Saccharomyces cerevisiae S288C: one gene and its partners. The gene in region 4 interacts genetically with the main gene of each other region. Each region holds a gene or a part of one and is shown on either strand. Other genes may lie near its edges.

Region 1 (6,643 bases), on a different chromosome or scaffold from region 4:
AGATTACGAAGATGAAAACCCAAATGAAATTGATAAACCTAAGCTTATCATATGTGCAGACACAATTATTATAGATAAGAGTGGGAGAATCTACGAGAAGCCTAAAACAAAAGAGGTCCAAAAGAAGTTTTTAATGAAGTTTTGCTATGAAGATGATGAACCAGTTAACGTTGTCACCGCTGTGACTTTAATTAAATGGTACGGCAGAGAAAACTTTGAATTGGTACCATTCCGAGATGAAACCAAGGTATACTTTGATAACAAAATACCTTTGAGAATATTGGAAGAATATGTAGAAAGCGGAGATGGGCTGGAGGTTGGCGGTGGATTTAAAATACAAGGGCAAGGTGCTATTCTAATTGAAAAAATTGAAGGTGATTACTATAACGTAGTTGGTTTACCGCTCAATAAAACGTTCAAAGGACTCTATGCTGAGGCTAATTCCATATAACCTTCGTTTAGGTTTTCTTTGGTGTTGCTCAGTTAACTATGTTAATCTTTGCAACACCAGAAGAATGAGTGGAACGGATATTAAAGGCCACATTGGTGAATAGATACATGCGCTAAATAACACGGCTATTAACATTCTACGAGACAGTTTTTCGATTGATGGTAAAGAAAGTTTAAAGCAATACGCATTTTGAATTTCACGCTTTCGCGCACATCTTCTATTTTTTTCACCTTCAAAAAGGCCCTTTCTCTTTGTCTGTTTATATTATGATTATATTAAATATAAGTATCTTAAAAACAATAATATCGTCAAGTTATTTAGTCGAGAGTTTGACACTGTTACTATCGTTGCTTTTATTGGTGAACAAGTATCTGTAAGTGATGAATTTTTCCAGCATTTTCAAATCTATTTCGAATTTCCAGTTCCCATACACCATAGAGGAAACTGCAATCACTGAAACCGCCCTTTGGCAATGTTTCGATGGTACAAGGAAGGCAGATTCCTTGCCAGTAACAGTTTTTAAGGCAAAAAGATCTCCAGAAAATGAATCTTTAATTTTAAATGCTGTACACAAGAGCAAAATTTTGAAGATTCCAGGACTTTGTACGGTGCTGGAGACATTTGATTCCGACCCCCAATCCACATTTATTGTTACCGAACGAGTAGTTCCATTTCCTTGGGATAATCTAGGCTCTTTATCTCAAAACAAATTTGGTGTTGAATTAGGAATATCACAATTATTGGCAACTTTAGGATTTTTAAAAAACTTTGTCCTTGGTACGCTTTCTAAAGATTCTGTTTTTATCAATATTAAGGGAGAGTGGGTACTATTTGGGCTAGAACTTTGTTCAAGCAAAGAAGGATTAAGTGCGTTTGAATTTGCCAGTAGAGCGAGGTCATATTACAACATAATTGGCTCACAGTTGCCCTGTGAAGATCCGAATACAATTGATTCAATGGGGTTAGGATTGTTGATAAAGAGCCTTATGGCTCCTTCTTGTCTGCCCAAAGATTGGATTGTCAATGTAAATATGATTTCAGATGGAAAGATAACAATCGAAAACTTCAGAAAAAGGCTAGAAAATACAGAAACTTGGCGTTCTAATCCTTTGATAAACTTTTATCAAGAATTGAGGGAGTTGCATATAAAGGACCCACAGGGAAAATTGGTTGTGATGTCAAACTTGGAAAATTTGTATTTAGAGTCAAGAGAGATTTTCCGTAATTTAACGCCTGGAATGATAGAAAATTTTATTATTCCAGAGCTTTGTGAAATTATAAAATTATTAATGACACAAAGCATCAGTAGTGCTGCCAGCCCTATAGGCATGAACTTCAACGCATCACATAAACTAGTACCATTCTTAGCGATTGTTTTAGACCTAACTTCTGAAACGAACACCTTTCCAGTTGGTTTCAACGACCTTATCACCCAAAGTTTTAAACTGCCAGATAGGCAAGTAAGATTTCTTTTACTAATATACCTACCCAAATTAATAGGTCCATTGAGCAAATCAGAGATCTCCAGTAGGATATATCCACATTTTATCCAAGGTCTGACCGACTCTGATGCCACTCTTAGATTACAAACACTGAAGACAATTCCATGCATTGTGTCATGTTTAACAGAGAGACAACTGAATAATGAGCTACTGAGGTTTCTCGCAAAAACACAGGTTGATTCTGACGTTGAAATCCGAACATGGACAGTCATCATAATAAGTAAAATCTCAACCATATTATCAACGTCAGTTGGTAATCGCTCGAATATTTTAGCTACGGCGTTCACAAAATCTTTGAAAGATCCTCAAGTAAAACCAAGATTGGCTGCTCTTTATGGGCTTGAGAAGTCGATTGAGCTGTTTGATGTGAACACAATCGCCAACAAAATTTTAACAGTCATTGCCCCTGGTTTATTAGATAAAAGTCCCATAGTAAGAGGCAGAGCCAAAATCCTGTTCGAAGAATATCTGGAAAAATTGGAAAAAGAAGCCCAACTTATTCAAACAAACGATAGTACTGCAGATTCGGAAGATGTGAAAGATATTGATTTTGAGAATTACGGTTGTGATGAAGAGGATATGAATAAAGAAGACAATTTGTTAGCCGCACAATTTTTAAATAATTTACGTTTAAATTCTCCCTCAGCAACAACACCAAGTAACATTACCGAGAGCGAAATTGATTCCGCCCAGGATGGAAGTGGATGGGACGACCTCAGCGATACCGATGGCTTTATTACAAATGGTACCACAGAATCCTTCGATGAAACAACAAACCCTGTAACAACCGCAAGCACCCCAAAATTATTCGGAAAACCTATTAAAATTAATAAAAGTTGGAATGATGAGTTGAATGATGATGGCTGGATTCAAGATGAAAGCGGCCCATCAAAGGTGCCTCAAAAACACACAAGGCCACAAAATTCAACGTTGGCAAAATCCATCGCTCCTAGCTCAAGGCTTTCTATCAAGAAGAAGAAAACAACGATCCTAGCACCAAGAAACATTGCTAGTAACTCTACTGTTACCACCAAATCGTCACTGTCCAATAAAACTGCAAGAAGTAAGCCTATAAGTAGTATCCGCGGCTCGGTAACCAAGAAAGGAAATGTTGACGGCTGGGATGATGATGGGGATTCAGACTCCTGGGATACGAATTGGTGATCCCAAGACTTATATAGCCCTACGTATTGTAGAAGGATATATTCAGTGTTAATCGTTATTTAGAAACATTACGCCCGTGCCCCGCGATTTCGCTTCTTTGAGAAGTGGAGGAAAAGAAGGGTCCCTTTAATTCCAGTAGAAATGAAGCATAAGCAAGAAGAGTCATCAGAAAAGGGAACCTTGTAGTACTATAGATGGTCCCACAGAGAAATTAATTGGGACAAAAACAGCTACACAAGCGATATACTTCAAAAGATTCAGATATTGAAAAATTACCAGCCATGCCTCCTCCAACTGCACAGTTCATGGGCCCTACGCAGGCGGGACAAAATGAAAGCCAAAATCAATCATCAGGCGAAGCTGGGGAGCAAAACCAGGAGCATGGGCAAGGCCCTACTCCTATTCTTAATCAAAGTCAACCGGCTTCTTCTCAACCGCAACATCAACAACAAAGGAATGAGTCGATTTCATATTATACAAATTTCAACCAGCCACGATATTCCACGGACGCCTCTATCAACTCATTCTTGAACATATCTGATAACGTACCAGTAACAAGTACAGGAGGACCTAGTTCTGGCGGCGCCTATTCCAATCTTCCACGATTATCCACTTCAAGTACACATCAACCGCCAGACCTGTCGCAAATCGGACGCGGCTTTTCCATTGTAAACAACCTCTTCCCACAACAACAGCAGCTTCAAAATCAGCATCGGCAACAGCAGCAACAACAACAACAGCAGTCGCACCAGCAGCCTCCCTTCAAGACCCCTTCATTTTCGACGGGATTAACGGGAAGTTCTTCTCAATATCAATTTTTACCAAGAAATGATAATACTTCGCAGCCACCTTCAAAAAGAAACTCTGTTTATCTTGGACCTAATGATGGGCCTGATTTTGAATTTTTCAGTATGCAGCAGTCACAGCAACCGCAGTTCCAGCCTAGCAGTAGAAGAGAATCAAACTCTATGAGACCTCCACTGTTAATACCTGCAGCAACTACTAAAAGCCAGTCCAATGGCACCAATAATAGTGGGAATATGAACACAAATGCAGATTATGAATCATTTTTTAATACTGGTACAAACAACAGTAATTCTAATCAGAACCCGTACTTTTTGAGTTCAAGAAATAATTCTTTGAAGTTTAATCCTGAAGATTTCGATTTTCAATTCAAAAGGCGGAATTCTTTTGTTAGAGGTACTTTGGACCATAGCAGCCAAAATGCGTTTATACCTGAATCAAGATTAAACTCACTATCCGTTAACAACAAAGCTAATGGTGATCCTGTCGCGGATAATGTTACCAATAACATGAAAGGAAAAAGTAATGAAGTTGACAATGATGATGGCAATGACAGTAGCAATAACAATAACAACAACAACAACAACAACAACAATGAAAACAACAATGACAACAATAATGATAATAACGACAATAGTATTAATTCCGCCACCAGTACTAATATCCCAAACCAAGAGGACCATAGCCTTGCTTCTACCGATACCACAAGCAATAGTAGGAAAGATCTAAAAGAAATAGAACAAAGACTTCGAAAACATTTGAATGATGAGGATAATTACTCTAGTGCTATATCAAGACCATTGGATAAAAACGACGTAATTGAAGGCAGTGAGGGATTGAACAAACATATAGACGAGTCTGGTATGCAACCTAATATTATCAAGAAAAGGAAAAAGGATGATTCTACTGTGTACGTCAAGAATGAGATGCCCCGTACTGATCCCCCGATGAGTAAAGACAATTCTACTTCTGCTGAAGGAGCAGCAATGGCAAACTTTTCTGGTAAAGAACCTCCTATACCTGACATAAGTTCAGTAAGTGATGATGCTACTAACCTGATAGGTGCAACAAAGGTCGACCAACTAATGTTGATTATTCAAGCAAGAAAGAAAGGTTTCACGGAGAAAGTAAATACCACTCAAGATGGAGACTTACTGTTTAACCAAACGATGGACATTTTACCACCTAAAAGCGAACTAGTAGGTGGTGTGGAGAAACCAAAAGGCACACAAAATACACGAGCAGTTAAAAAACATGAATGTCCCTATTGTCATCGGCTTTTTTCGCAAGCGACTCATCTGGAGGTTCACGTTCGTTCTCATATAGGGTACAAACCATTCGTTTGTGATTATTGTGGCAAACGTTTTACTCAGGGTGGGAACTTAAGAACTCATGAACGACTACACACAGGTGAAAAACCGTATTCATGTGATATTTGTGATAAAAAATTTTCTAGGAAAGGGAACTTAGCTGCTCACTTGGTTACTCACCAAAAATTGAAACCATTTGTTTGCAAGCTTGAAAACTGCAACAAGACCTTCACTCAACTAGGAAATATGAAGGCCCATCAAAATAGATTTCATAAGGAAACATTAAATGCCTTAACGGCAAAATTAGCTGAGATGAATCCATCTGAGAATATTCCACTTGAAGAGCGGCAACTTTTGGAGTACTTTGCGTCCATTTATAAAAATTCAAACAGGGGAATTAAAGGTAGAGGAAAAGGTGTAGGAACCAAAAAATCAACAATTTCCTCACCAGAAAACCATCCTGCGAGCACAATTTTGAATCCAAATACAAATGCAAATAATGCTATTGCTAATGATTCTGAAAATAACGGCAACCCTGAAGGTAACATTGACAGCAGTAGTAACAGCAATCCGGGCTCACATAGTATGATTTCGCCGACGCAAAAAGACATGGGTACGTTGCAATCACAATTTATCCAAAATAATTTTAACAATTCTGTGAACAGTTCGAATCCGTCCAACCAACCAATCATAAACTACAATTACACCACACTTCCTCATTCTAGATTAGGAAGTAGTAGTTCCAGCAATACCAACAATAATAACAGCAACTTTTCGGTAGGTGCAGCTCCGGGTGTATTAATGGCGCCAACCACCAATAATGACTTCAGTTTCAACTTGGATCAATCTAATGATAATGAAAGATCTCAACAAGAACAAGTGAGATTTAAGAACATTAATTACAAAAGCTAGCAGGCCTTAGAGGCACTACCTTTTTTTTTTTTTCGAGTTTCTACACCGTAGTATCTGATTTCATAGTGGTATTCGTCAAACTTAACCCACAAGTGTCACTTTTCCTTTCTTTTTTTCTTTTTCTTGAAGAACTGCATGGTTTTCTAGCTCTTTTTCACTTTTTTGAGGTTTTATTTATCTTGTATTCTTTTTTTCTATTATTTTAAAGGTTCAATTTCTATCGACGGTTTTTTTAATTATATATATATATATATATATATATGTATATAATGAATGTGTAATATTCCAAGTATACGTACCTTGGGTTTATATTTTTTAACTTGTATATTCTTTTACGATAAAATTTCTTCCAATTAACATCCCAGGCCTTGCTTCAATTTATCAATTGGTATATTAACTTTCAACACATTTTGTTTTTGTTTTTATTTTTGTTTTTTTTATTTTTTTTTTTTTTTCGCGTTTCGTGCTTTAATGAAACATGTGAAGTGTTTCGCAATGAC
Region 2 (7,630 bases), on a different chromosome or scaffold from region 4:
CCATCATCCTCTTTTGTAACTTGGTCCTACAATAAATTTATCCAGTGTGACAGCTTTATAGGAGGCGTAAAGTAGTCTCATGAAGTAGATGAGTCTTGTTCACCATATTTTTCTTCTCGACTGCGAATTAACACTGTTCTTTGATGTTAGAACAATTTAGGTTCAAAGTACGAGTCACGACATGTAACAAGGGAAAAAAAGGATATTCATTTCAATAAAGTTCGTTTTATAAAAGTATAGTACTTGTGAGAGAAAGTAGGTTTATACATAATTTTACAACTCATTACGCACACTCATGGTTTTTGGCCAGCGAAAACAGTTTCAAAAGATTGCTGGAAGTCTGCAATAATGTCATCAATAAATTCGATACCAACAGAGACACGAATTAAGTCCTTGGTAACACCAGATGCCAACTTTTCTTTGTCATTTAATTGTTTGTGGGTAGTGAAGTATGGAGCAATGACTAAGGTCTTGGCATCACCAACATTGGCCAAGTTAGAGGCAAGCTTTAAATTGTCAACAACTTGAGCACCAGAAAGTTTGAATGGGTCAGTTTCCTTGTCGGCATTTGGTAAGTCTTTTACACCGAAAGATAAGACACCACCGAAACCGTTAGATAGATACTTCTTAGCATTTTCATGATGAGAATGAGATGCTAAACCAGGGTATGAAACCCAAGATACGTATGGGGATTGTTCTAACCATTTGGCTAACTTCAATGCATTTTCACCGTGTCTTTCAGCTCTCAAAGATAATGTTTCAACACCTTGTAGTAGCAAGAAAGAGGCAAATGGGTTCATCAATGGACCCAAATCTCTTAATAGTTCAGTTCTAACATGAACGATGTATGCCAAGTTACCGTAGGCTTCATTGTAGATAGTACCGTGATATCCTTCGGCAGGTTGAGAGAATTGAGGGAACTTTTCTGGGTAGTCCTTCCATGGGAACTTACCAGAGTCAACAATAATACCACCGATAGTAGTACCATGACCACCAATCCATTTGGTAGCAGAATGTGTTACAATATCAGCACCGTATTTAATTGGCTGACAGAAGTAACCACCGGCACCAAATGTGTTGTCAACGACAACTGGAATACCGTGTTTGTGAGCAATTGCAACAATTTTTTCAAAATCCGGAACATTGTACTTTGGATTACCAATGGTTTCCAAATAAACAGCCTTGGTTCTTTCATCAAAGACCTTTTCGAATTCTTCTGGATTGTCACCTTCAACAAATCTAGCCTCGATACCAAATCTTTTGAACGAGATTTTGAACTGGTTATAAGTACCACCGTATAAGTAAGAAGTGGAAACGATGTTGTCACCAGTGTGTGCCAAACCTTGGATGGCAAGGGTTTGAGCGGCTTGACCGGAGGAAACAGCCAAAGCAGCAGCACCACCTTCTAAAGCAGCAATTCTTTCTTCCAAAACATTACTGGTTGGGTTTTGGAAACGGGAATAGACGTAACCTGGAACTTCTAGACCAAACAATTGCGAACCATGCTTAGAGTTTTCGAAAACATAAGAAGTGGTGGCGTAAATTGGTACAGCTCTGGATCTGTGAGCATTGTCACCAGGGTTCTCTTGGCCGGCGTGTAGTTGAACAGTATCGAAATGAGATGGCATTGTATGGATGGGGGTAATAGAATTGTATCTATGTATCTGACGACCCTGTATTACACGAAGGAAATAGTAGATGAAAAGACAAGAGAGCAAGAAAAAGGAAAAACTTCCTTTCTAACAGACGCTTTACTTAACCTTATATATATCTTATTTTTTTCATCGAGCGTGTTCAATTGGACAAGGTGCCACCTTTTCGACACTTCGGTTATTATGTTACACAGTTTTCATGAGGATGGCGCCTTGACTAACTTAATTAGTCATTTGCCAACCACCACAGTTCCCCAATATCGACAGCTTCACGTGCCATTTGCCATTTTGCGATCATGTGACCTCAAGAGAAAAAGCAAAAAATAATGAGAGCTAAGGGATTCGAACCCTTGCATCCGAAGATATCAGAGATTTTAGAGGTTAAATCCACCTAAATCTGACGCCTTAAACCACTCGGCCAAACTCCCATTGTATGTTGGAAGAATTGGATTTAAATGTCTATTATAGCATTAAATATCTTTAAATACATTCAAGAAATGGCGAAATTATTTCTTAGTGTTGGAATAAAAATCAACTATCATCTACTAACTAGTATTTACGTTACTAGTATATTATCATATACGGTGTTAGAAGATGACGCAAATGATGAGAAATAGTCATCTAAATTAGTGGAAGCTGAAACGCAAGGATTGATAATGTAATAGGATCAATGAATATTAACATATAAAACGATGATAATAATATTTATAGAATTGTGTAGAATTGCAGATTCCCTTTTATGGATTCCTAAATCCTCGAGGAGAACTTCTAGTATATTCTACATACCTAATATTATTGCCTTATTAAAAATGGAATCCCAACAATTATCTCAAAATTCACCAAATTTTCACTTAGGTATTTTCTTTTATAAAGTCTATCGTTATAAAAATACTATATAGATCCCATAGGTGCTTATTATAGCAGCAGAAGAAAGTAGAAAACGATTTATTCTCCTTTATTAAGCGTGATATTCAATAACTTCCCAGTTCAACCCATTGCTGGTTACAGTGGAACCTTTCTTCAAATTTTCGTAGCTTTGTGGAATTTTGTTTACTTCCTTACCGTAGCTTAATAAGAACTCAGATTTACCTGAATCTTTTTCAAGTAATCTGATGAAGTTCAAGCCTTCAATAGTGTTATTATTCTTTTGGGACAAAAACCCTTGAATCCATCTACCAATAACAATAACCAAACCATCATAAGCTTCGTCAGTAACTTTGAGGACAATTGACCTAGCATTCGACGAGAACTTCTCATTGTTTGGTGAGACGATGACTAGATCTTCTCTTGATGGGTCAACTGGTTGCCACAATTCTCTGAAAGAGACGCTTTCTTTGTCGGCACCGAATGGGTAAACAGCGCCTGTTTCCTCGACACAACCAGAATCCCAATTTTTCCAAGTGGTGTTCACTTCGCCACGATGGGTGTTTGGAACGTTCAAGTACACATTTGTATCCAACCAGAAATTGAAATCTTGAGTAACGACACCGTTTCCTTGATCATTAGCTTTAACTGTTTCGTTTGTACCGGCAAAGGCCCATTCGAAAGGAAAAGATAACTCATCACCGCTTGGCTTAACAAATGGTCTCAAGGAAATATAGTGCCCATCAGTTGAAACAGAGGATAAGGTGAATGTTCTTTCGTTTGGATGAGGACCCACTTGAAACAATAATCTTTTTAATAATGCTGGCATTGTAACTTAATTTTTTGTTTGTTGTTGTTTAAGTTCTTTTATCCTTCCTTAGATAACACCTTAAAGCTCCAGTTACAACAGCGGTGAGAATTGACTTTATATTCGGGGCACTTCCGGTTGTTTTACGAACATGTGATTCGGAAATTTTATGCAAGACGACACGGAACGGAACGTATGCCGGCGGAAAAGCTCACGTGTGAAGAAGAAAACAAAAAGAGTAAGCTGGATTTTCTTTTTCGGAGATTCTGTAGAATTTTTTTATTAGTGCAATGAGGTAAAAAGGAAACTAATATTAAATTCTGAAGGTTATGTTACATAGTTTTTATTATTATTATCGTATATTCTATAAGTGTACCATATAAAATAATGTCTTTACTTAGACTTAAGTGAGAGATCTCTGTAAAATGTTGGATAAAAAAGAGATAATGAACTAAAAGGGGTAGATAAATTAACGTTCTGTTAAGTTTTGCTGATGAAAAATAACATTAGAAAATTCAGCTAAAATGAGCGGACTGAGGGCGACTTAGTTAGAAATTGTGCCACATTGGTTTGGATACTTTCTGTCAGTCAATGGTTGAGGGAATAAACCATTGAACATCAATCTTTGAGCATCCCATTCCAAACTAGATTCTGTCTTGTAACACCAGATAATCCAACCCCCTCTCATTTCAAAGGCATCTAGTTGTGCCTCCACATAACGTCTTGTGTTTTCCTTTCTTTCGTCAGACCAGTAAGCTATATCATCGTTGTTAGCACAAGAGCCAATGTAAGAAGATGTTTGGTCACCATTGACCCAAGAACCGTCGTATCTAGCGCCGAAGCCAACACTATTCAACCATTTTGTACAATCAGTCAAAGCGGCAGCAAACTCACCACAAACAGTCCAGTGGGATTCATTCAAAACTCCGGTACCCCATTCACAAGCTACTTTAATATGTTCATCAATGGATCTTTCCAATTGATCAGAAGCAAAGACTTGGTAGTGATGATGGTCGATAGTGACACCCCAGTAGCCATCGTTTTCAGTCATGAAGTCATCCCAATAATTGTATGGTTGGAAAGCGTCATGGATGATGATAACTTGGTCACTCTTGATGTTGTTTCTCAAGTATTCGTAAGCAGGTGCCAAGTAGTCATTCTTCATTTTATCCATGTCTAGAACAGGACCCAATGGCTCATTAATCAATTCGATACCAATAACAGTGTCCAAGTATTCCTCCGCAGAGTATTTTTTCAATATGTAGTTCAAGACATTTGTAGTAACGGCCAAATTGCTGTCTTCCAAAAACTTGTATGAATCTCTCAAACCAGAGTTATCAAACCCGTTCTGCGAACCAGCGGCACCATGCAAATCAACCCAAACTTTCAAGCTGTTGTTTCTAGCCCAACCGATGGCTTGGTCTAGGTAAGATTCCTGTAGGCCGCTAACATAAGGATCATCGTCCAAAGTTTGGAAAGCCCAGTAACCGATAGGAATTCTGACAAGGTTGAAACCTTGGGAAGCAATATTAGCGAAATCTTGTTCTTGGTAGAAAGTAGACCAATGGCTCTGTAAACGGCTTTTAGCCAAATCCTTACCTAAATATTGACAGAAGTGATATTCGTCGACAGGAATTCCTTCGTCGTTGTCATCATTTGTACGGAAAGCCTCGAACAAAGATGGAGTAATGTATGGTTCAAGAAGTAACCAACCACCAATGTTGACACCACGGATTGGTTCTCCGAGGGAACCGTGGTCATAATCGTAGTATCTTTTCTTGTTCTCCTCATGAACAAATTGAATGGAAGAAGGGTCTCTTGCAGGGACTGGGGTAGCGAGTACTGATGACACAGTCAACAACGTACACAGTAACGTTTTAAGCGAAAGCATTTTAGTTGGTAATTAACTAGAAAAAGAAAGTAAACAAAAAATCAAAGGCACGTGTTATTCAAAACTTTTGGGTCCTCTCGTAAACTTTAGTTTTCTATAGTTATTTTTGACTTAGTCAATACATAATAAAAATTACTAAGAAAAGGGAGGGAGTATTTAAAACGTCTGCAAAAACATTACTTTTTCCCAAAAATCCATCCAACTTATATACATTTTTTATCATCCACGCCTTTTTATTTAAAGTGCCTTTCTCTGCAACTGCTCATATGACGATATGAGATGGCAAGTTCAAGTTTGTTACACCGCTTATTGATGTGCACACAGGTACGGAACACGCTAAAATTATAACGGCGTGCTCGAGAGAAAAACCCAACAGGGTTGGTCTGGGCATCTCCAGCAAGCCACGGTTTTAAATTGACAGTGCTTCACACTGCGGTGTTGTCTGGGGCGCCTCTGTATTTGCGGCAACGCGCCTGGTTACGGGCTTGTCTCAGGCTCGTGTGCACCGCACTGTAAACACAGGGAGGATGACTGGGTCAGGTCCCCACGGTTTATTTATAGTAAACAACAATGCGCGTATGTGTGCGTATTAATGCTATAAAAAGAAACGCGCAGTATCAAGCCATCAGATTTTTTTAATAATGGTAAATACGTATGCTGGCATCGTTCCGAAGTCGCGTCTCGGCTGCAAGGTAGGGAAACTTACTGAAAAAGGCAAAGCTCGCATGATCTGGATTTTTTGTTTTGTTTTAAGGGCGTATGCCCTTTGTTAATGAAAAGTAAATATTGATTCTTTAAAAATAAACGCAAGCCCAGTATTTATTTATATACCACAGAAGCAGGCTCCCTACATTACGTACTATTATCTTGAACTATATTACAGTACCATTCTTACCCCACATCTTAGTATACGGAGGAGATTCCTCTTTTTCTCCAATAGTCACTCACCGCATGCCATTCTCCCCTGACATTGCGTATAGCATTAACTACGCTCTTGGGAAATACTTCTTTCATCGTATATCCCATTTCCTTGAGAGTGCTTAGTACGGCTTTACCGATCATGGGGAAGCTTTCCAGTTCTATGCGGTCGGGCAGTAACTGGTGGTGTATACGTGGATAGGCTATCGTTTCCAATATAGGCATGTTATACCAGTACGTCCTCACAATTGTTTGTAAAACACTCGTAGTGATTCTTGAGCCGCCGGAAGCGCCGACCACGAGGTCTGGGATGCCTAATTCTGACAGCACAATAGTGGGTGCAGTGGATGATAGGGGTCTTTTCCCGGGCTCGGGAAAGTTGTATATGGAGGGTGCCAATTCAAAACTATTAGATTTGTTGAATTGAGCGAAATCGTCCATTTCATTATTGAAGATCACCCCGGTTTTTGGGTCGTGTACTAAGGAACCGAACAACAAGTTGATGGTGGTTGTCAAGGAAACAGCATTCCCATGTGAATCTACTATACTGAAGTGGGCAGTTCCATGCGGGTTATTGATATCGTATGCCGGATCATAAAGCGTCCAGTTTTCTAAAGTTTTAAAATTTCCGTCTTGAGAGTTTCTTTTGATTGATTTCACTGCTTTCAAAGCCCATTCTGGATCCAATACCTCTTCTATATGCTTAGGTAATGCTTCGCCTTCAAAATCGCCTAACCTGCTTCTTGCGCTTGCCATCCATTTCATGCTTTCAAGCAAATGATAGGTAGTTTCTTTTTCATAATCGCCCCCTTCTTGATTCTGGAAATTATCCATTATCCTTAACGCCGCAAGTAGTGCAGCCCCGGAACTTGAGCCGCTACTTGTTAATACGGTCATATCGTTATCAGGGATGAAATTGGCGCCCTTCCTAATTTTCATGGACAGTGGTTTAGTAACATGAACATCATACGATGAAACATCCTGCAAGTTCATTATTCCATTGTATTTTGCGACAGTATCAATCATGGATTTTGCAATCCAGTGATCGGGGTCATAAAATGGGGCCACGGAACCATTTTTAGCCAGTTCCATTAGCATGTTAGATAGTGCCGGCCTCTTGATCCAATCGCCTTCTTTCAAAACACCGTCATGGGTAGAATTCAATACAAACGACCAATCTTCCTTCAATGTCAGGAAAACATCCTCATAAAGTTCTAAAGTGGCACCGAGTGCTTCGCCTATTTGCCAACCCACGCTTCCCAGCTTTGCGACTGGTTCAATTAGATCACGCCAATCAACTTGGCCGCTACCTCTTTCTTTAAAGAGGCGATAGAGACCCATCAATTCACCTGGAACACCGACAGCAAGACCCCCTATTTTTGAGCATAGAGAGCAGTTTTCGAACATGAACTTATGTGAATCCATGGGTGCTTTTTCTCTAAAATCAATGGATAGATGATCTTCATCGTCTTTGCCAGAAAAAACTACGTAGCCACC
Region 3 (7,897 bases), on a different chromosome or scaffold from region 4:
CGTTTGTTGCAGTATACCCAAAAGGTAACTATCATCAAGATCAGACTCCATTAAAGATTCTAGCGCTAACCTAGACTCCATCATATACTCGTCAATTAAATATTTGGTGCCTACATGGGAGTGCCTATATAGGTTTACATTCCCCATATTTCCCAGGTTTCGTACCCAATTCGTCCTAATGATGTACAACAATTGAGCGTAATTCCTATTCAAGCGCTCCTCACGCATTCTAGATGTTAAATCTTTTATTAGCTTGTAATCATACAAGGGACTTTCCAATTTCTGCTTCCATTCTGTTTTCCCAGTGAGGTCATCCAATCTGGCGCCCGCAGAACACCATTCTTCAAATGACATCGCATGTTGCTTTTGTGAACAGACTTTGTCAATAAGAATGTCTCTTTCATAGTTTCCCACAAAAACGTTGTAAAGAAATGATTTGCATTTACTGGCTAAAGATGACCCTTGCCTTTCATCTTCGCCTTCGTCTGTCTCAACCATCTCGATATCATTATTTTCATTTTCTGTTACTGTCTCTTGGTCATCGTCAAGTTTATCCTCGTTTCCAGTATCCAGGTTGAAATTTACTTTGTTCGTAGTTTTGTTCTTGCCAGTTTGCAGTCTTTTACCAGCATCCTCCTCCACCCTTTCAACATCTGAATTATCCTTACTGGGCCTAATAAACTTGTTCTTCGGATTTAAAATAGGAATTATGTTCTGGGAAGTGCCCAGGATCTGTTCGTAATATTTTTCGATTAGTTGTTGCGTAACAAGGAGGGGCTTATTTTGTGTAGATGTAAGATCTGATATTTTGCTGCTCATTCAGACTTTTATTACATATACCTGTACTCCCTTCAATAATTATTACAGCGCTAATTTTTTTGATCAAATACTTGAATACAGGCCTCTTTTACGAGTACAATAATGACATAATGACAATTTGAATCAACCATACTTTATAATTGTGGTTTAGCGTTTCATAGTCGCAATTATCGTATAAGAGGGGTAATATGTCAGCCCTAGTTTACCCTACTTTTTTTAAACCCCTTAAGATCTTTTTTCCTTTTTTCTAATATTTAACCTACTAATATTGGTAAGTAAACCTAATGACTTTTTGAAGCGCCTAGCCCTATTTCTTTCGAAATTTTCAATTCGCGTCCTTTTTCAATTCCATGAATAATAGGAAACATGAAAAAATAAGTAAATAATAATAATAGAAAAGCTGGAGTGTTGCAAATTTAAGAGGTAGCCTTAAAATATATTTCTGCTGTGTTGAATATTTAATTTATACAGCTAGAATAGGATATTATAGCCGAATTTTTTTCAAGCTTCTTCAAAGCTTATAGTGAATAACGTAAGGGGAAAAACAAGAATAAATTTAGCAAAAGAAACGCTCAAGTCAATGTATAACTCAATCTACGGGTCCCCCTTCCCTAAAATAAATCCGAAGGTCCGCTACAAAACTGCTCTAGAAAGAGCAGGGTTTGACACTAAGCCGCGTAATCCGTTCAGTAGTCAGAGGAATGCTTCCACTGGAAGTTTACAAGCTTCCGTGAAGTCGCCGCCAATAACCCGTCAAAGAAATGTATCTGCCGCCCCATCTGTTCCGGTCACGATGAAGAGTGCGTATACGGCGTCTTCAAAGAGTGCTTATTCATCTGTAAAGGGCGAGTCTGACATTTATCCGCCTCCCGTATTGGAGAATAGCGAGAGGCGGAGTGTAACTCCTCCAAAGAATAGCAATTTTACGTCTTCGAGACCCAGTGACATATCTCGTTCTATTTCCAGGCCCAGCGAGCGTGCTTCGCAAGAGGATCCCTTCCGTTTTGAACGCGACTTAGACCGTCAGGCGGAACAATATGCTGCCTCTAGGCATACATGTAAATCACCTGCTAACAAGGAATTCCAAGCCGCAGATAACTTCCCCTTCAACTTCGAACAAGAAGATGCTGGTAATACTGAAAGGGAACAAGATTTGAGCCCTATTGAAAGAAGTTTCATGATGCTGACTCAAAATGACACTGCAAGCGTTGTAAATTCTATGAACCAAACCGATAACAGAGGTGTGCTCGACCAAAAACTCGGAAAAGAACAGCAAAAAGAGGAAAGTTCAATCGAATATGAAAGTGAAGGACAGCAGGAGGATGAGAATGATATTGAAAGCCTAAATTTTGAACCAGATCCTAAACTACAGATGAATCTTGAAAATGAACCACTTCAAGATGATTTTCCAGAAGCAAAACAAGAGGAAAAGAATACAGAACCTAAAATTCCGGAAATTAATGTTACGAGGGAAAGTAATACACCATCTTTAACCATGAACGCACTAGACTCTAAAATATATCCTGATGATAACTTTTCTGGCCTGGAATCTTCAAAGGAACAGAAATCACCTGGTGTGTCATCATCGTCAACAAAAGTTGAAGATTTAAGTCTTGATGGGTTAAATGAGAAACGTCTTTCAATAACTTCTTCAGAAAACGTGGAAACACCATACACTGCTACGAACCTCCAAGTCGAACAATTGATTGCTCAATTAGACGATGTTTCCCTATCTAGAAATGCAAAGCTCGATATGAACGGCAATTGCCTCAACGCAGTGGACAGAAAGGCTTCTAGATTCAAAAAGTCAAGCGCATATTTATCTGGGTATCCCAGCATGGATATACCCGTAACGCAGCAAACATCAATTGTGCAAAACAGCAATACGAACTTATCCAGACAAACTATTCTGGTAGATAAAGGCGATGTCGATGAAGACGCGCCATCTGAATCTACAACTAATGGTGGCACACCCATTTTTTACAAGTTTAAACAGTCGAACGTAGAATACTCCAATAATGAAGGGATGGGTTCGCAAGAAACTTTCAGAACGAAACTTCCCACAATTGAAGCACTACAACTGCAGCATAAGCGCAACATAACAGATCTGAGAGAAGAAATTGATAATTCCAAATCTAATGACTCTCATGTATTACCTAACGGCGGCACTACGAGATACAGCTCTGATGCAGATTATAAAGAAACGGAGCCCATTGAGTTTAAATATCCGCCTGGGGAGGGACCTTGCAGAGCATGCGGCTTGGAAGTCACAGGGAAAAGAATGTTTTCCAAAAAGGAAAACGAACTGTCGGGTCAATGGCATCGTGAATGTTTTAAATGCATTGAATGTGGTATCAAATTCAATAAACATGTTCCCTGTTATATTCTAGGCGATGAACCATATTGTCAAAAGCACTATCACGAGGAGAATCACAGTATTTGTAAGGTTTGTTCAAATTTCATAGAGGGTGAATGTCTGGAAAATGATAAGGTGGAACGATTCCACGTGGATTGTCTAAACTGTTTCTTATGCAAGACTGCCATTACTAATGATTATTATATATTCAATGGGGAAATTCCATTGTGCGGTAATCACGACATGGAAGCTCTCTTGAAGGAAGGTATCGACAATGCTACATCAAGCAATGATAAGAACAATACTCTCTCTAAAAGGAGAACGAGGCTCATCAACTTCAACTAGCATCACTACCCATTTGTCTTTCCTAGCACACATGTTTCATAACATTCTTAATAAGATTTTGATTTTTTATATTATTAGCCAGCCTTGTTCATTTATAAATTGTATAGCGCAGGAAAAAGGCATCTGCCTATCTATGGTATCAACAACATTAGTCGTCATTAGTTAGTTAGTTATAAAGACATCATTCACTCATATTCACTACGTTGTCTTCTTCTCAACAACTACCTCTAACTGTTTTTTTACGCGTCATTTAATTGTAGCGAATTTCTATTTTTGGACATTCTCGTACCGGTGCATTAAAGGCTAAAAGCTAAAAAGGGAACAGGAGCCTAAGAATAGAGAATAAGGAAATTTATTTAAGGAAAGGCTAAGCAATGAAATGTTTCGTTATTTTATTGTATTTTCAAGAGGATGGAAGAAGAACCTGAGCACAAACGGATAAATAATAGACGAATATAATGTTTCTTAAGACACCTAATTGGGAAACGGTAAATGAGACTCCCAAATCGAGAGTCTTAACGATAAACGAATTGATCTCTCCCAACCTGGATACTGAATCTAACAGCCTTCTGGCGACGCCGGCAAGGAAATATTTCAAAACTTCAATAAGTGAAGCGCAAGATTCTCCTACATCTGCCCCTTCGCCCGATGGCAATGAGGATCCCACATATCAATACAACGTACAATTTCATTTTCCAGGACCAATAACACCTACAACACCCAGGTCTAAGAATGCAGAAATGTTTCCATCCCCCACGCCCCCATTGGTTTCTCCCACAGCGGTTATCGAGGAAGAGAATGACGATTCCGTACGGGAGTTTTCACGCACGCTAAAATCAAGACTCAACTGCGCAATGGTTAAGCTATCAAAGGAACATGAGCAAGTAGCTTTGATTCCTCCACCTCCGACGGAAAAGATACGAAAGGGCTCTTATAGTAATAAATTTGCCGCTAAGCATAGGCGCTGTCACTCGTTAGATGAATCCAAAAAGTTTCTGAGTTCTCTGGAAGATTCATCCGCTCATGCAGCGTTCTTGAAGGCAATTTCGTCCAAACATGCCAAAAGCAATAGGGTAGACAACGTTAACGTTTCGCCGTTACGTTGGTCATCTCATAGAAGAACGCAAAGTACACAGGAGAATTCTTTACAAGAAGTTGTTGCTATCGATACATTATTGAAGATGTCCTCATCGGACTGAACTAATGATTCGGGTTTCGCATATATACATGGCTTTGGCTACTTTTAGGTTTATAGTTCTTGCTGTTTATATCACTAATATTTAGTATATAGCTGCGAAGAAAGAAAAAGAAAATATTCACCTCTAGGAGCCAAAAACATAAAAAAAAAAATAATTAAAAAAAACTTTTATTGAATGCTTAATTATTTAGTGACGCGATTACCTATATACCAGGTTATTTATTTTTTCTTTTTTCAAAGGAAAACAATACAAAATATTACTGTTACCATTTTTGTTACTATTATTATTGTCTTTATTACTATTATTTTTCTATCGTTGCTATAATTACAATTTGTTTACTCTACAACTTAAAAGGAGATTACTCCAGACAACGAGTTTTGTTTTATGTTTCCTATTCTTTTAATCTTGGAATTTGTATGAACCACTTTCTAATGTAATGGATCCACCTCTGTAAGAACCTCTCTTCATTTTATTTTTGTTCTTCGTGAAATCTTTACCTCTTACTCTACCTAATTTTTCATTTGCCTTTTCACCCCATGTTCCAGCCGCGCCTTTGTAGGTGTTGTCTGTCAACTCCCAAGCTTCGAAATTAATCTTCGATCTATCTACTCTGGAAAAATGCTTTCTTTGGCCCTCTTTGATCTCGTCGGTTCCAGCAGGAATGTTCAATTTATTGGCGCTTGATGAACTGGAAGCAGATGGAGTTGATTCGTTAGATGAGGCAGGCGTTTCTTCGGCCTTGGATTCGTCTGCAGTTGCTTCTTTTGTTTCCAATTCAGAGCTAGAACCAGAGTCTGAGTCGGAATCCGAATCGGAGGAATCAGAAGATGTAGATTCGTCGGAACTTGAATCAGACGAGCTTGAAGAATCGGACGAGCCTGAAGAGTCTGAGTCCGAGCTTGAGTCGGAATCCGAATCTGAATCCGAGGAAGAGCTGCTAGAGCTGGAGCTAGAGTCGGAGTCAGATGAAGAGTCGCTGGAGCTGGAGTCGGAGTCAGACGAAGAGTCGCTAGAGCTGGAGCTAGAACTTGATTGAGAATCTGATTCAGAATCTGATTCGGAATCAGAAGAACTACTTGAGCTAGAACTTGAGTCAGAATCAGATTCCGAACCTGATTCTGATTCTGAAGATGACGATGACCCGCTAGAGCTTGACTCCGATGAGGAAGAGCTTTCTGGTTCAGTTTTAGCCTTTTTAGTCTCCTTAGCATCTTCGTTGTCTGATTCTCTTGCTCTTTTCTTGGTTTCATCTTCTGATTCGGATTCCGAAGAAGATTCGTCAGAACTAGAGCTAGAGGAAGAAGAAGATCCACTGGAGCTAGAGTCGGATTCACTAGAAGATTCAGAGTCACTGGAACTTGAGCTTGAGCTAGAAGAAGAAGATGATGATGAGCTAGATTCAGAGTCACTGCTGTCACTGCTGTCACTGCTGCTGCTGCTGCTGCTGCTGCTGCTGCTGCTTGAAGATTCGCCGCTAGAACTGGACGAGGAAGATGAAGAAGAAGAGGAGGAGGAGGAGGAGGAGGAGGAGGAAGAAGAAGAAGAAGATTTCTCTTCAATCTCCTTCTCCTTAACACTTAATTTTGGCACTTCGTCAACTTTAATTTTCTTGGAAGCCATTGCTATGTATTCTTAGTGTACTGCGACTTGGGTTTCTTTCTTGCTTTGTATAAAAGTGCGATGAGTTCAATCATCAAGTGAATTTTTTTTTTTCAGCCTGCATTGAAAAAAAAAAAATTGTATGCTCGAGCGATGGGAAGGTTTTTTCCTCTTCCCGTTCAAAGCTTCCTCGGACCAACTCCACTTTTTCTCGGCCCGTTGTAAAGAAATGGGTAAGAGAACTAAATTGCAATAAGCTTCGAATTATCGTTTTGATCCAGACATAAAGAGATGTACAAACTACAAAACAAGAGTAAAATAACTCGAACGAAGGGTACACCTTCTGTAATAAAACAAATTCACTATAACTGCCTTATTGGAGTGAAAAAACAAGATTATGTAGACCCCCTCTCGCGATAAAGAACATTAATGACTGCAACACCCGCACACCACAAGGTGAAGGGCAAAGGTGAATTAACCAAAGTGAAGAGGACGACGTAGAATCAACCAGGTATCCTTGATAAGGGGAGGAGTAAGAAAAAAGTGTGTCGAACGTAAATTTATGTGTCTAATGAAAGTATCTTCACACTAAGATTATAATTCTCCTTGGCAAAACAAAATGACACCTTTGTCCTGTTTTCGTTATCTACTTTTTTTTGTGTCAGATGTCATTTTGGTCTCCTACGCATCCACTACATCCTTGTCACAATTTGTTATCAGTAACCAACTTAGATGACTTGCACCAGCGCCACATCTTCGAAAGCGTTGAAACAAACTACGTAAACAAACAAAAAGTCAACATCCTGTAGATGTGGCTGCAAAACCACAGAATCCTCGTGTGGGAGAAAATATTGATAGGACCAGAGCGAACTTTTTTGATACAGACGTAGGAGGTAGCCGTTACCGCATTAGTATACTATATGCGTACGGCCGCCAAGAGCCCAAGAAAGAGACACAAAACTACGTGGGATAAGCTTGGGGTAACGCAATCAGTATTGTTCATTTTTTTTCCCGGAAAAGCTAAGAGTTTTCTGGCGAGATAAGATAACGGCGCCGAAGGCAGCGGCGAACTGACTTACCTCCGTCGGCTCCGGCGTACGGCACCAAAAAATCCCGCAATAACTTGACACCAATGGGCTAACGGCGTCCGCAGAACCGTGACGCAATCTGCGGTTTGTGTCAAGACAGAGAAGTGGGCTGCTTCTCCCCTTTCAACACTCCCCTCCCATGGCTGAATACTCAGACGTTTTCTGTGGTGGAAATGGCATCAAAAGTGCCACTGGCTGGCGAATCCAGACTATTTTGTGTCAAAGAAACATGCGTACCTGCACAATAAAAAGAAAAGGCCCGCCCTACTGACATCCTGTTCAGGATCCTCGAAGAACAGGAAAAAGGACAACCGTCCTTTTCACTTCACGTTCGCAGGGCTTTCCTCGATATAATGGCGATTACACAAGCGGTGGCGTCTTGAAAAAAGTTGGGTTTCTTATCTGTACGGCGATCACTCCCCTCATATGATAGCTGTGTAGAGTGACTTGCTCTTTGATTGGCCTTACTTCTTGCATCTATCATCCTTTCT
Region 4 (7,533 bases):
AGCTGTTATTGTCAAGGCATTCCAACTAGTTATGCAAAAGTGTGCAATTTTTGAACCCAAATCATCTTCTTTTTGGAACGAATATCTCAATTTTTTAGAGCAGTGGAAGCCATTCAACAAATGGGAGGAGCAACAGCGAATTGACATGCTCAGAGAATTCTACAAGAAAATGCTATGTGTTCCTTTTGATAATCTAGAAAAAATGTGGAATAGATACACTCAATGGGAACAAGAAATAAATTCCCTAACAGCCAGAAAATTTATTGGCGAGTTATCAGCCGAATACATGAAAGCCCGTTCCTTATACCAGGAATGGTTGAACGTTACTAATGGATTGAAAAGGGCATCTCCAATTAATCTGCGCACAGCAAACAAGAAAAACATACCACAACCAGGTACCTCAGACTCAAACATTCAGCAGTTACAGATTTGGTTGAATTGGATAAAATGGGAAAGGGAGAATAAGTTGATGCTTAGTGAAGATATGCTATCACAAAGAATCAGTTACGTTTATAAACAAGGTATTCAATACATGATATTTTCTGCTGAAATGTGGTACGATTATTCAATGTATATATCTGAAAATTCGGATCGACAAAATATCTTATATACTGCGTTATTAGCTAATCCCGACTCACCTTCTCTTACATTCAAGTTATCCGAATGCTACGAACTGGATAATGATTCTGAAAGTGTTTCTAACTGTTTTGACAAGTGCACTCAAACTTTACTATCGCAGTATAAAAAGATCGCCTCCGATGTAAATTCGGGTGAAGATAATAACACAGAGTATGAACAAGAGCTGCTATACAAACAGAGGGAAAAATTAACATTCGTGTTTTGCGTGTATATGAATACGATGAAAAGAATATCAGGACTATCCGCAGCACGTACTGTATTTGGTAAATGTCGTAAACTGAAGCGTATATTAACACATGACGTCTACGTGGAAAATGCATATTTAGAATTTCAAAATCAAAACGATTATAAGACTGCTTTTAAGGTTTTAGAATTGGGTTTAAAATACTTCCAAAACGATGGAGTTTATATCAACAAATACTTAGATTTTTTAATATTTTTAAATAAGGATTCGCAGATCAAAACCTTATTTGAAACATCAGTGGAAAAAGTGCAAGATTTAACCCAGCTGAAGGAAATATACAAGAAAATGATAAGTTATGAATCGAAATTCGGTAACTTAAACAACGTTTATTCTCTAGAGAAAAGATTTTTCGAACGGTTCCCCCAAGAAAATTTGATTGAAGTTTTCACAAGTCGTTATCAAATTCAAAACTCCAACTTAATAAAGAAATTAGAGTTAACTTATATGTATAATGAGGAAGAAGACAGTTACTTTTCTTCTGGAAACGGGGATGGCCATCATGGCTCTTACAATATGAGTTCGTCAGATAGAAAGAGACTAATGGAGGAAACTGGAAACAATGGAAACTTCTCCAATAAGAAATTCAAAAGAGACTCAGAGCTTCCAACAGAGGTTCTTGATTTATTGAGCGTTATACCAAAACGTCAATATTTTAATACAAATTTACTCGATGCGCAGAAATTGGTGAATTTTTTAAATGATCAAGTAGAGATTCCAACAGTTGAGAGCACCAAGTCAGGTTAACATTACGTTAATAAATAGGTATATATGAATATTTATACCAACACATCTATTATAATAGGCGAACCTCTGTATGTAATTAAGTAAAAAAAAAACGATGTGACAGGATAGTTAAGGTGCCTCGTACATAAATAAAAACGGAAATAGTTAATTCTTTCAAAAATATGGCAATAGCCAAACTCATTCAGAAGGTACAGGAAACACTCTGTTTCTGTGCGTTTATATAACCATGCTTATAAAAGAAAGATTGAACAAAATATACATGAATTTATGAACGGTAATCACCGTTAATTGTTACATATTCATGTGATAAATCACAAGTCCAAAATTGTGCTGCCTGATCACCGGTTCCCAAGTCGACAGACACTTCCAAATCATTCAAAGCCAATATTTCAGAAGCCCTTGTTTCATCGATCTCCAATTGTGGCACACCATTAGCGACAAGCTTCAGCTCACGAGGTTCTGAATTGTCGGTAGCAATAAAGCTAACATTAATTTTGTTGACATCTAGAGATTTTAAGTCATTCAGCTTTGCATACCCGATCGCGCACAATATTCTTCCCCAATTGGCATCTTGCCCATATAGTGCGGTTTTGACCAACATAGAGTTTGAGATTGATTCAGCAATTATTTTGGCGTCTTCAAAATGCAAAGCATTTTTAACGTTAACAGTAACAAACTTTGTCGAACCTTCACCATCGCGAACGACTAACTGGGCCAAGCGCTGAGCAAATTCTGTGACCTGCAATTTTACTTGTTCAAAATCTTTAGAGTCTTCGTTAATTTCTTTGGTGTCAATAGCACCGTTGGCCAACATGCAAATTGTGTCATTGGTGCTCATATCACCGTCCACCGATATACAATTAAATGAACGGGTAGTAGCGAAAGTCAGCATCTTCTGCAACGCCTTGCTTTCAATAGGAAGATCTGTAACTATGAAACCTAATAAGGTAGCCATATTCGGACAAATCATACCCGCGCCCTTTGCCATACCTGTCAAAGTATACTCAGTACCACTAGGTAATTTGAATCTAGATGTAACTAATTTTGGGAAAGTATCAGTAGTACAGATTGATTTGGCTACGTTCAACCAAGAGTTAAAATCACTGCCGAACTTTTCTTCTCCAAAAATTTTATTGATACCAGTGCTGATCTTGTCCATCTGTAGTCGTTGTCCAATAACGCCTGTAGACATGACTAGGGTAGAATTTTTTTGACCAATTTTATCGTTAACCAAATCAATCATTACTTGGGCATCTTTCATACCAAGATCACCTGTGACCGAGTTAGCACAACCGGAATTGACTACAATAGCGTTGATGTTTTTACCACGAGCAGTTTCAAGGACTTTTTTCGATGTCAAAACTGGCGCAGCTTTGAATTTATTGGTCGTGAAAACAGCTGCTGCGGTTGAAGGACGAGATTTATTGGTATTCAAGATTACACCCAGGTCCAGGCTCCCGTTTTTTTTGACTCCAGATGCAGTGTAGCCTACTTCAAATCCTTTAGGAAAAGAGCCCGTCTTGGGCACGTATAATGCATACTTATCTATAAGCTGCTTCGAGCGTTGAAGCAATGTTGATGATATTCTCATGCTATGTTGAATTTTGGACTTCTTTAAATAAAGGGAATAGAAGTATTGCTGATACTAGCCCAAAAATCGTCACCTTTGTGCGGCGAGCCGAGGATGAGGCTTTTATATACTCGACGACTAAAGAAGTTGGCAACGAATTACGCAGTGAGTCATCCTACCTGTCCATCGCAGTAGAAAAAGACCTTCGCCAAGAAAACACCGTCAATAATGATTGCTAAGCACTCTCACTTAGTACTACTATCAACGCTACCTTCAATTTGGGTCTAACCACGGCCCTATTGCATCACTACTCTCTTTATTCTATGATACAGCGTGGGGGTGAAGCCAAGAGCCCTGTGTTTTACTTCAGCATACCAACAAAGTATAAGATTACTTTTGCTATACAGCGATGAAAAATGTATTTTAATGTTTGTAAATTTATGATCTACTGACACGTCTCAGACAGATCACATTTACAACACAGCATGCTATGACTATATACAAAACATGACTTTTCTTTATCACTAAAAGTAACTGCCAATTTATTGTCGAATCTCGCTATAGTTTGATTTTCACCAGCGGCGCGCGCAAGTATAAGCTAAGAAACAATGAATATAGATAGATAGTGATGAGCGTTGAGAACCGGGAAATGAGTAGAGACGTCCTTCTAAACAAAGATTTATACGGTTGAGACAGATTCATTGAGGAAAAGAGGAGAATGGTTAGCATGATCCATATTGTGGTGTTTTTGCTAGCAATCACAACCATGTTCGAAATACTTCCGCTAATAACCGTCCCCGTGACCAAGTACCTATCGTTATCGTCATTCAGAAACCACTATTATGGCCTGTTTGGCTGGTGTGTACGTGGTCAAAACCAAGAATTGATGTGCACGAAAATGAAGATAGGATATGACAGTACAGATGTCGACTCCTCCGGGCACGTTTTGACCCTGCCATCGAACTCAAAAGTGGTCGTCTCCAATTTATTAGTGGTTCACCCGATTTCACTGGCATTCACAGGAACGCTATTAATTTTAGCAGTGATTATCATGGTAACTCCACTAGGGGACTCACCTGAGATGTTATTGTTCACGGCCCTTTTTTCGCTGCCAACGTTCATGCTATGTCTTTTATGTTTTTTGGTAGATATTCTTCTGTTCATCTCCAAACTGGACTGGCCCGGCTGGCTAATGCTAGCCGCTACTATTAGCGTAGCACTTTGTTGTTCCATGCTGTGGGTCATGAGAAGAGTTGTGTCAGTCAAAAAATATGAATCGCAACAGTCAATTGCGCATGCGTGCTCAATGGAACAGTACTCAATTTCCGACATTTACCAGAGTAAACAGAACGGCAATAGCTCAGAATATGAAGTGGCTCCAACACATACAGATAGTCTGATTGCTCCAGAAGTGACATATAGAGGGTTCATTGAATAAGTAACATCATGTGTCATTTTGCACGTTACATCGGTTTGCCAATCGGCTTCCAAATATTTGTACATTTTTTTCTTCCTCCATCACTATCTGTTAAGGGTCTTAGAAAATGATTACTACAGTGCAAGAAATCAGCAAATGGAGAAACCTGTGCTTCATTAGGATGCAATCTCGCAAATGGTACCCAGTACTTAAAAAGACTCCTTTAGTAGCGGACGGTCGAAAGATCATTAAACATGCCGATAAAGTTCCTCATCCGGAAGAAATAATTCACCCATTTTACCAACCAACAGCAATAGAACAATTCACGGCATGCGCTACGGAATACAATCCTAGCCTGCTTGATGGCAAAAAAATTGCTCCATCACTGATAAAACACCCGGTGAGCCTAAAAACCATACTAGTTGATAGCAAATTAAAGTTTGATGATATTAGGGGAGTGAATAAATGGTTGATGGAATTCGTTGCAAGACGACAACATCAAAGAAATATTGTACTTACACCTGCGAGCAAAAGCGTTAGATCTTTTCACGTTCTGCATTTGTCTTCAACCGATATTGCCAAATTAAGAGGTCTTGAAAATATATTATCAGAGATTGAAAACACGAATGATTTGCAATCCAGGGTCGAGTCCGTAAATAATGAACTACAGAATATTTTTGACCGCGACAGTAAACAGACAAGATTATTTTGCGAGAATATACTGGCTTATTTGATAAAGAATTATGGAAACTCGACTGAAAAACTTATACTACTAATAAATGTTACTGAGATGCAATTATATTCACGTTTAGACCAAATGAAGGCCATGAACATTATTTTATATAATATCCTTTGTAAAGTGGAAGCAAATGAAAACCCACCGTACAGTCCCACATTGGTTACCGCACTAGAAAACCTATTGGCAGCGATCAACAACAGATTTTTTCCAGGGCGTTGCGAAAATTCATTGCACCCAATAGTAATTGAACAACTATTATCATATTTCATTAAAACCGGCAATTTGAATGAAAGCAAAAATTTTTTGGGCCATTTAATAAAAAAGGGTATTTTACCAGAGGCTACTATCATTAATAGATATTTGGAGGCAATTGATGTTCATTTCGATAAAAGCACTAAGATTTTTGATATAAGATCCAAATTTGCATTCATAGCAGATCTTGCACCCATAATAGAAAATTATGGAACAATAGACCTGTTCAAATTTTTGATACCTATGTGCCGGCATTTCGACGAATTGTGTTCTCTGCTAAATATTATTCGAAAATCCAATAACGCAAAACGGGCTGTGGATAGCACCTTACCTATTTTTATCAAAAAAGTATTAACATTTACTAAAGATCCAATGATCAACTCCGGAAATCTATCCACTGTTTTCAATATAGTGAGCCCAATATATGGACAAAACGTGCCCAGCGAATTCGTGGAGAAATTTATACTGTCTTTTGCACTTCAAGGAAATTACACTATGATGGCTCATATGATAGATACATATAAGATCAAACTAAGTCATAAATACCAACTACAAATTATTAGGGCTCTCAAAAATAGTGAGAGAAATCACGCGCTTAAGAATACGGGCGCTGTAGGTTATAATAAGGAATTTAAAAAGTACTTCATCGAGAAATATTTGAATTGCACTGAACGAGAAGCTTTACGCCCATAAATCGTCTATATTAAAAAAAAGGCAGCATAAGAGCAACTCACTGCAAAGGGAATTGCGCATTCCACGCAAATAAACAATGTAAATAAGAATACGTACTGTAACTGTGTCACACTAGCGGGTTGTTTTATCATAATTGTTTGGGATTAATCCTGAACAAATTTTCTATATATAAACACTGGTTCGGAATACCAATGAAGTATACATATTCTGGTTCAACAACTGTTTCTATTCAAAAACTTTGAATGTTTGAAATGCGCTACGTCTATTTGTTTGCAATTTGTATTAAGTTTGTTTCAAGCTCCGAACTAGGAAAAATCAACAATCTGCTGCAAGGAAGATTGATATACACAGATAATTCCGTTGCGACAAATGTATTAGAATCCAAATTTCCATTCTTGAAATCAACATGTGTTAAAGACGCACTAAAATTATTTTTGCCACAATGTATTGCAAATGGACTTGAATCCATTGACGCTGAAACAAGGGTAGAAACGGCCATTAAACTTTCAATATGCGAGTTTCAGGCATCTGGCTTGGGCGAAATACCAGAAAATTGCATGGTTGACGACCTAGGATCAATGATGGATTGTATGTTTGAACTAGAATCATCTTCACAGTGGTGGACAACTTATAGTGGAAATTATCAGCGACTATCGAGTATTTGTTATGAAAATCTTCTTCCTTTTGAAAAAGAACAGATACTGAAACTTTTTCTAAATATCACTGAACTTTATGATTCATTTGGGGATGATGTCGATACTAAGTTAAATCATCTGATGTTTCAAATGGAGCAAGATTCTCAAAATTTTTTGGACGATCTGGCCAGGATGTTCCGCAACTATGACAATGAACTGCGAAATGCGACCGAAAGCAATCGAATAATCTTAGAAAACGACCTCTCATTTTTTAGAAATAAAGTGAATGATGTACTCTATGAAACTTCCGAACAACTAGAGGTCCAAATCATAGAGAAGAACAGTCAACTAATGAATGAAGTTGATACCGTCCATCATATTATGAGCGATCTAGCCGATGAGCTTGCTAAAAATGACATAAAATCTAAGATAAATGACTTGAAGGACGACAGCCTGAATAATTTACAGGACCTAGTGGAAATGTCCAACGACGTAAAAGAATATTACTCTAGAAATAACAAGTTAGTTAATACCGAGTTGGAAAACTTCTCGATGGGTTTAAAAAAACAGTTAGGAGGCATGTCAAAGGATCTTTCTGAA

Evidence for each region.
Region 1: mutations in RIM9 (region 4) and AZF1 together harm fitness more than expected from each alone (negative genetic interaction), as found in Saccharomyces cerevisiae (2 studies listed by BioGRID).
Region 2: mutations in RIM9 (region 4) and HRI1 together harm fitness more than expected from each alone (negative genetic interaction), as found in Saccharomyces cerevisiae (2 studies listed by BioGRID).
Region 3: mutations in RIM9 (region 4) and SRP40 together harm fitness more than expected from each alone (negative genetic interaction), as found in Saccharomyces cerevisiae (2 studies listed by BioGRID).

What each region holds. Positions count from the first base shown.
Region 1 is NC_001147.6:530,677-537,319, forward strand, and holds AZF1 (Azf1p), read left to right. Parts: upstream 1-3,398; coding exon 3,399-6,143; downstream 6,144-6,643. Other genes in the region: YOR111W (nucleotide diphosphatase), read left to right, coding at 1-451; COPI-interacting protein CEX1, read left to right, coding at 832-3,117. UniProt on the Saccharomyces cerevisiae protein: Transcription factor involved in the diauxic shift. In the presence of glucose, activates carbon and energy metabolism genes, and in te presence of glycerol-lactate, activates genes needed for cell wall maintenance.
Region 2 is NC_001144.5:726,540-734,169, reverse strand, and holds HRI1 (Hri1p), read right to left. Parts: upstream 3,346-7,630; coding exon 2,611-3,345; downstream 1-2,610. Other genes in the region: bifunctional cysteine synthase/O-acetylhomoserine aminocarboxypropyltransferase MET17, read right to left, coding at 294-1,628; YLR302C (uncharacterized protein), read left to right, coding at 1,617-1,979; EXG1 (glucan 1,3-beta-glucosidase), read right to left, coding at 3,869-5,215; ECM38 (gamma-glutamyltransferase), read right to left, coding at 6,119-7,630. UniProt on the Saccharomyces cerevisiae protein: Unknown. Non essential.
Region 3 is NC_001143.9:607,547-615,443, forward strand, and holds SRP40 (Srp40p), read right to left. Parts: upstream 6,340-7,897; coding exon 5,119-6,339; downstream 1-5,118. Other genes in the region: TGL4 (triacylglycerol lipase), read right to left, coding at 1-819; PXL1 (Pxl1p), read left to right, coding at 1,400-3,520; DNA-binding protein SRL3, read left to right, coding at 3,979-4,719. UniProt on the Saccharomyces cerevisiae protein: Not known; weak suppressor of a mutant of the subunit AC40 of DNA dependent RNA polymerase I and III.
Region 4 is NC_001145.3:393,162-400,694, forward strand, and holds RIM9 (Rim9p), read left to right. Parts: upstream 1-3,915; coding exon 3,916-4,635; downstream 4,636-7,533. Other genes in the region: cleavage polyadenylation factor subunit RNA14, read left to right, coding at 1-1,627; ARG7 (glutamate N-acetyltransferase), read right to left, coding at 1,893-3,218; AEP1 (Aep1p), read left to right, coding at 4,742-6,298; KAR5 (Kar5p), read left to right, coding at 6,541-7,533. UniProt on the Saccharomyces cerevisiae protein: Required for the proteolytic cleavage of the transcriptional repressor RIM101 in response to alkaline ambient pH, which is necessary for sporulation and invasive growth.